Pelodiscus sinensis: one gene and its partner. The protein of the gene in region 2 binds, or shares a complex with, the protein of the main gene of each other region. Links are inferred from orthologs where the notes say so. Each region holds a gene or a part of one and is shown on either strand. Other genes may lie near its edges.

The links. The genes of interacting proteins can lie anywhere in the genome.
Region 1: the proteins of BANF1 (region 2) and EMD are in contact, whole or in part, in a crystal structure (PDB 7NDY), measured with the Homo sapiens proteins. The link is inferred for Pelodiscus sinensis from reciprocal best matches to the Homo sapiens genes BANF1 and EMD. Residues at the interface, in NP_001137457.1 of Homo sapiens: Arg37, Phe39, Gln48, Val51, Leu52, Lys53, Asp55, Leu58, Glu61, Trp62, Asp65; in NP_000108.1 of Homo sapiens: Pro22, His23, Gly24, Pro25, Val27, Ser29, Thr30, Arg32, Leu33, Tyr34, Lys36, Lys37, Glu40.

What each region holds. Positions count from the first base shown.
Region 1 is NW_027466045.1:56,797-60,535, forward strand, and holds the start of EMD (emerin), read right to left. Parts: upstream 2,134-3,739; 5' UTR 1,969-2,133; coding exon 1,887-1,968; intron 1,609-1,886; coding exon 1,534-1,608; intron 1,488-1,533; coding exon 1,477-1,487; intron 1,429-1,476; coding exon 1,350-1,428; intron 1,201-1,349; coding exon 970-1,200; intron 722-969; coding exon 621-721; intron 1-620. UniProt on the Homo sapiens protein: Stabilizes and promotes the formation of a nuclear actin cortical network. Stimulates actin polymerization in vitro by binding and stabilizing the pointed end of growing filaments. Inhibits beta-catenin activity by preventing its accumulation in the nucleus.
Region 2 is NC_134721.1:33,018,976-33,022,714, reverse strand, and holds the start of BANF1 (barrier-to-autointegration factor), read left to right. Parts: upstream 1-1,256; 5' UTR 1,257-1,271; coding exon 1,272-1,275; intron 1,276-1,420; exon of another isoform or gene 1,421-1,565; intron 1,566-3,739. UniProt on the Homo sapiens protein: Non-specific DNA-binding protein that plays key roles in mitotic nuclear reassembly, chromatin organization, DNA damage response, gene expression and intrinsic immunity against foreign DNA.

The DNA.
Region 1 (3,739 bases), on a different chromosome or scaffold from region 2:
GTTTGCCATGACGGGAGCGGCAGAGCCAGCGGGAAGGATTCGATTCTTATCGATCGAGCCCAGCAAAGCTCGGTTTCCGCAGACACTCAACTCAAAAAAAAGAAAGGCGGGCTACTGACAGCAACAGCCAGCGGGGACCGCTTCTCGGGCTGTGGTTCAGGGTACTTGCTCTGCTTGGGTAGGCCATGCTGACAGCTGGTGCTTTAACAGTTACAAAGTTGACATTTTGTTACAAAGGTGCCCTGGGGCGGCCAGGCACCTGCTGCTGGGTCATGCTTCCGGACAGCCGCCAGCGGGGGTCACCCACAGCCCATGCAGAGCAACCAGCAAGGGACTGACTCTACACCACACAACATCACCCAACTTAGTTCCAGCTTCACCAGCCCCTCCCATCACCCAGCCGCCAACAGCCTGCCAGGCTGGACCAGCAGCCAAGTGCAGGATTGCCCCAGGGTGCTGGAGATGGGGCAGAATTGGGGGTCAGATGTGGTAGGACCAAGTAGGAGGGAGCGGAGGGGCAGTGTGAGAGTCTGGGTTGGGGCGGGGGGCAGAGAGCGTAGGGAGAGAACTGGAGCTGCCCCCTGCCCCAGATCCCTGCCCCCAAATAAGGCCTGACTTACCGGCTGGCGGGCAGTGGCTTCCCCCATGGGACCTGGGCCTGACCCGTAGAACCACGAGGAGGAGGAGGAGGAAGATTCTTCGTAAGACTCGCTGTCCACATCTGGGGGGGAGGAGTGGGGTGAGATAGGGGCTGGGCGTGGCTCTTCTCCCCCCACCCCCCCAGAGCACCACCCCTGGAACTCCCTGGTGCAGGAATGTCAATGTGGCCTGGGGGACGGGGTGGGGATGGGGTGTCAGGCCCAGGCCTGAGAAGTTACAAAGCTTCCCCTCCCCTCTGTGTTCCCACACATCCTCCCTGCTCTGTACCCCCCTTGCACCCGCACCAGAGGAAATGCCTGCCCCCCTCACCATCCCCAAGGTAGCTGGTGCGACCCTCTCGGCGAGGAAAATCATACAGCTCCCGCGTGTACGTCCTGGTGGGGCTGGATATCTGGAGGCAGAGACACACAGGAGGGATTAGTGGGAGGGCACCTTTAGCCCCCACCCCCATGGGAGAAAGGAACCCCCAGATGCCCCAACCTTTGTACCCCAAGTCCAGGAAAACTGCCATGCCCCTCACTCCCAACCCACAGTCTGCTGCTCATCCCAGCCTGAGCTCTGCCGGCGCCCCTCACTTGCCACCCACAGCCCCTGCCAGCCCAGCCCCCCCCTCCGGCCCTGCCCGACCCAGGGTGCCCACCCCCCAAGCTCTGCCCACGGCCCTCACTCCACCCCGCAGCCCCTCTCACTGTCGTCCCCGTAGCGGTGCCGCTCCTCTGGTGGGCGGTAGCTGTAGGATTCCTGGATGTAGGTCTTGGTAGTGCTGGGCTCTGGACACACAGAAAAGGGGGGGGGGGGGAGGGTGTCAGCGGCTACGCTGCTGGCTCCTCCCCAGCCCTCCTGGCCCCCCACTCACCCGAGTAGCTCACAGACCCCCCAGGGGCGACAGCTTGGTGCGCTGGCTCTCGAACTCATAGATCTTCTTCTCATAGAGCTTCCGGGTCGATCCTGGGGGCCGGGAGACAAGGGGGGGGGGGTCAGGTGGGCCCACGGTGCCCTGCCCCCCACAGCTCACAGAATGTCTCTGCCCCCCCCCCATCCCTGCTCCGCCTGTTCCCATCACACCCCGCTGGCTGCCCCCCAGAGCCTGCTTCTCTTGCCTCCCCACGGCCCCCCAGCGCCCCCCCCAGATCCCCCCTCGCGGCCCCCCAGCCCCCCCCAGATCCCCCCCCGCGGCCCCCCCCAGCTCCTCCCTCGCGGCCCCCCAGCGCCCCTCCCCCCCGTACCCACGACGGGCCCGTGCGCGATGCCGTAGCGCTGCAGCCGGGCGACGAGCTCGGTGTCCGACAGGTCCCGGTACCGCTCCATGGCGGGCGGGGCGGGGCGGGCGCTTCCGGCGCGGAGCGGGCCCAGGAGGCGCCAGCGGCGACAGGAAGTGACACGCGGGGGAGGGGCCGGCAAGGGCGCAGCGCGCCGCCCCGAGCAACGCCCCGCCCCGCTGGGCCCGCCCTAGCAACGCCCCGCCCCGCTCGGCCCGCCCTAGCAACCGCTCGCCCCGCCCCGCTGGGCCCGCCCTAGCAACGCCCCGCCCCGCTCGGCCCGCCCTAGCAACGCCCCGCCCCGCTCTGCTCGGCCCGCCCTAGCAACGCCCCGCCCCGCTCCGCTCCGCTCGGCCCGCCCTAGCAACGGCTCGCTCGGCCCGCCCTAGCAACGCCCTAGCCCGCGTGTCCGCCCAGCTTCCCCCCCCCCTCCCTGGCAACGGTCTCGCGCCCCTCGCAACGCCCCCTCCCAGCTGGGGAACTCCCCGCCCGCCCCGCTGAGCCCGGGCGCCTGGGTTCTGGGGGGGGGGGCAGGGCGCCTGGGTCCTGGGGGGGGGCAGGGCGCCTGGGTTCGGGGGGGGCAGGGCGCCTGGGCCCTCGGGGGGGGCAGGGCGCCTGGGTCCTCGGGGGGGAGCAGGGCGCCTGGGTCCTCGGGGGGGAGCAGGGCGCCTGGGTTCGGGGGGGGCAGGGCGTCTGGGCCCTCGGGGGGGGCAGGGCGCCTGGGTCCTCGGGGGGGAGCAGGGCGCCTGGGTTCGGGGGGGCAGGGCGCCTGGGCCCTCGGAGGGGGGGCAGGGTGCCTGGGTCCTCGGGGGGGGGCAGGGCGCCTGGGACCTCGGGGGGGGCAGGGCGCCTGGGTTCGGGGGGGCAGGGCGCCTGGGCCCTCGGGGGGGGCAGGGCGCCTGGGTTCGGGGGGGCAGGGCGCCTGGGCCCTCGGGGGGGGGCAGGGCGCCTGGGACCTCGGGGGGGGCAGGGCGCCTGGGTTCGGGGGGGCAGGGCGCCTGGGCCCTCGGGGGGGGCAGGGCGCCTGGGTTCGGTGGGGCAGGGCGCCTGGGCCCTCGGGGGGGGCAGGGCGCCTGGGTTCGGGGGGGCAGGGCGCCTGGGTCCTCGGGGGGGGGCAGGGCGCCTGGGTTCGGGGGGGCAGGGCGCCTGGGCCCTCGGGGGGGGCAGGGCGCCTGGGTTCGGGGGGGCAGGGCCCCTGGGCCCTCGGAGGGGGGCAGGGCGCTCACCGCCCCCAGAAGGCCGCGGGAGATACGAGCCCGTGTGACTCATCACTTCTCCTTGGCCAGTTTCGATTTCCCCACGAGCGCCCCGCCCCCCCGCCCCCCCAAACAGGTGTCCTGCCCTCCCGCAGCTCACACAGCGCCAGGGCACCGCGAGAGACACTCCTGCAGGGAGAGCGGGGCGCCTGCACACACTGGGAAACTGAGGCACGCAGTCACTGAGCAGGTGAGTGTCCTGGTCCCCCCCCCGCCCTAACCACTAGACCCCACTCCCCTCCCATTGCTGGGGACAGAGCCCAGGAGTCCTGGCTCCCAGCCCCTCCCTCCCCCGCCCTAACCACTAGACTCCACTCCCCTCCCATTGCGGGGGGGATGGAGCCCAGGAGTCCTGGCTCCCAGCCCCTCCCTCCCCCGCCCTAACCACTAGACCCCACTCCCCTCCCATTGCTGGGGACGGAGCCCAGGAGTCCTGGCTCCCAGCCCCTCCCTCCCCCGCCCTAACCACTAGACTCCACTCCCCTCCCATTGCTGGGGACAGAGCCCAGGAGTCCTGGCTCCCAGCCCCTCCCTCCCCCGCCCTAACCACTAGACTCCACTCCC
Region 2 (3,739 bases):
ATTTCTCTCAGAGGAAGCCAGGAGTACCAGTACCTGTGTGGAGGATAAAGAGAGGCTGTCCGTCTCTGACAGCTGAGGATCCAGCGCTGAATTCACTCTTGGAGGCATTCACTGGCACTGGATACTCTAGGAACAAAGACAATTTTATGGCTTGTGGAAATGGACTGAGACTCCCTTACCCAGGGAATGAGGTAGCTTCAAGATTCCTCTATTCTGCTGGAAATTTTCAGGCCAAACTCCACACATTGTCTCCCACAGTAAGAATTCCACTGAAAATTTTTTAGCTGTGAATCTGAAAGTGTTTTAACACAAGGAGGTAAGGATTGTCAATAAGGAACTGATGCAGGGAGAGGAGAAGGGACCACACAGGCAAACAGTGGGAGGTGAAACTGAGGAACAGACACATTATAACAGAATAACATTCAGGCAATTCTACTGATGATTTGCATGAGAAAGTTAATTCTTTAGGGCTGCATTAACTTCCCAGGTAAAATCTCATCTACATCACAGAATGAAACAAAGATCCTATAGGAGATCATGGAAACAAAAAAAAGAGATTGATCCAATGTCACTTTGTGCCTTAACCCTGTTATGGCTTCCTTGCAACTGGAGACAGATGTGTTGGGGTCGAGTAAATCTGTCAGCTCCGTGACTCAGTTTCCTCATATAAGAAGATGCCAGTCCGTGCTGAGACTCACTGCAGTCCTGCCCTACGCTTCAAGCCCCCAGGCCTCTCCCAGAGCTACAATGGAACCCAGGGGTCGGGCTCCGCTCCCCCAGGGTGGGATTAATCCCATTGGATTCTCCACCTCCCCGCCCAGCTGTGACGGCCAGATCCCCTCTCGGGCTAGTCCATGTCGCCGTGCTGGGGGCAGGGAGCGCCTTGCCCTGCACGCCCCCGGGAGTTCCCTGTTCCGCTCATTGGCCGGGGGAGAAAACTGCCGCTGCTCCTAGGGGCTGGACTGGGGGGGGGGGGGTGAGGGGCTGCCGCCTCCCGTCCCTACCTCTCTGCACATGGGACGGAGTCACCCGCTTCCGGCTCCAAGTCCTGAACCTCCCCCAAACCTTTCAGCGTAAACTTCCGGGTGTTCCGGGCGCTTCCTGTCTCACTTCCGGGAGCCCCTCCCCCCACCATGATGTCCCCTGATGCTCTCCTTGGGCTCCCGAGGCAGCCCCGCGGGCAGGGCTATTATTATGGGATGGAGGGGTTGTCGCGGACCACAGGCAGCGTCAGAGGCTGCCTCGCGCCGTCGGTTACTGTGACCGGGAGGATGAGTTGGTATCACAGAGTTTTCAGTTGCCTAGAGTGTAGATGCTGAACTCTATCATCCAAAGGTGGCTGGAGCGGCCCAGAGCCGTTGGGAATCATAGAGCAGATGTGGATCGCTCCTGGCTGGGACTAGAGCATTATAGAGCGCCGCCTACTCTCTATGGTTATATGGGGCGCGAAGAGGAGCGCGTGCTGGCGTGGCCTGGAAGCGGAAGTGGTGTTTGCGCAGGCGCAGTGGGTGGCCGGTTGGGCGGGAGCGGCGGTGTTTGAGGCGCTGCAGCAGCGAGCGGAGCTGGTGGGTCGCTGCGGTGTCGGACGCGGGCCTCGGGCAGGATGAAGGCGGCTGAGGGCGGGAACGGGCCAGTGGGGGAACCTGAGGCGTGGGGGAAGGAGCAGTTCGGGGAGCGCTCAGGGGCCTCTGGGGAGGGCGGGCGGTAGCTGGGCATGTGTCTGCGAGGGCGCGGCCGGGGGGGGCGGAGAGGAGCGCGGGGAAGGGCTGGGTATATCCTGGTGTGATTTAGGGTGGGATGAATTGGGGAGAAGAGGGGGGAGGGAGGTTGGCTGAGGATGCCCGAGGAAGGGATTGGAGTGTTCGGGGGGGGGGCTTCTGCAAGGATGGTTCCTAGTGGGAGGTCTGGCCTTACCCATAGGGAGGGGAGATCTCTAGGAGGTGGGGCTGGGGATATGGGCCTGGGGAAGTTGTTAGCTAGTGCTGGTAGTAATCATTACTTAACTCTGCTCGTTAGTAGCTCTCAAGAGGTGTAAAGGTGAGTTAGTATTGTCCATTTTAGCGATTGGGAAGCTGAGGTCAGCTGCTGGAGCTGGGAATAGAACCCAAGTCTTTTTGAGTTTAGTTCACTGCTCTATCTGCTGGGCTACATTGTGGGGAAAGGAAAAGTAGAGTGGAAGCCTGAAACTAGGGTGTGTGGGGTTTTTTTTTTTTTTTTTGGTAAAGGATAGTGCTCAGGTTGTTGGGCAGGTGTGATGAGTTAGGACTTCTGGTGATAAGAGAGGGATTGGTGGTATATAGCTGGTGTGTCTGGGAATGCTGGGAGTACCTGTAGTGATGAGTGGTACCTCTTGGGGGTTGGAAATTGTCTGACAAAGATTGGGATGGGAACAAGGTAGTGGAAGGTGTTGCTGAATGTGTGGAAAGAAGGTCTGGGAGGTAGGCAGTTGGGTTGAGTGCTAGGACACGGGAAGGGAGGGTGAGGATATGTATAAAGGAAGCTTTATCTGGTGAAGACGTGCCAAGTGCAGGATCTAAAAGGGCTGAGGATGCCTGGAAAAAAGGCGTCTTTTGGGAGGGATGGAGAGAATGGCTGCAGAGTCTGTGCAAGGGGTTTGTTGGTATTTGGATGTAAGGCTAGGGCTGAGGGTGCACATGGAAGGAATGAAATCATCACTGAGACTGGATGTTCTGCAGAAAGTAGGGAATTCAGGGGTCTTTGTTGGGGGTGTCACAGATCCATGGGCTCGATGCTCTTTACTGCTCTGGGCCCTTTTAGGTCCCTTTAGGACCTCACATACTCACTGGTGTAAGCCCCTTGACTTTGCTGCCTCTTGGAACTAGACCTCAGAGCAGTCAGCAATCCTGCTGAACCTTTGAGCTCCCCTCCAGTGAGTCCACTTGAATTGGATGCCTGAGGAAGACTTGTACACCCAGAGTGAGCAAGGCAGCTCTGACTCCATGACCCCAGAAGCAACTCGGTGTAGTAGAAACGAAAGGATTTGATAGAGGCAGCAAGGGAAGGGGGAAGCGACTAGTCGATGATCCGATAAGCATTTGCTTATCGGATCGTCGACTAGTCCTTAACATCCCTAATTCATGTATGGAATCATTTTTATGTGCATCAAGGAAGTAAGAAACACAAACCTAGCAATGGGCTTTCTGCTAATCAGTTGCGCCCGCACAAGCTTCCAGTTTACAGGGAGCACCAGTAGCAGAATGTATTTGTCAAGAACATACAGAGTCAAATTAAACTACTAGTTTCTTCTGAGAGTGTAACAATCCTTGTGGATTGAGGATAAGCAGTAGATGTGGTGTATCTTGACTTCAGTCGGACTTTTGATATATTTCACATGACATTTTCATAAACTAGAGAATTACAATTTGGATAGCGCTACTACAAAGTGGGTGCGTAGTTGACTGGAAAACTGGAAATTTGTAGGCCATACCAATCTGGGGGGCATTGCCAGTGCTTTGGAAGATAGGATTAAAATTCAAAATGATCTAGATAAACTGGAGGAATAGTCTGAAGTAAATAGTATGTAATTCAATATGGATAAATATAAAGTACTCCACTTAGGAAAGAACAGTTAATTGCATGCATGCGAGGGATGTATAATCAGCATTAATCAGTTAACCTAATGTTTAACTGGTTAACTTAATGTTTAACCAGTTAAATAAGCAGCGTCTCAGGTTGGAGACTATTCCAGCCCAGCTGGAGCAGCCCCCAGCCCAAGGAG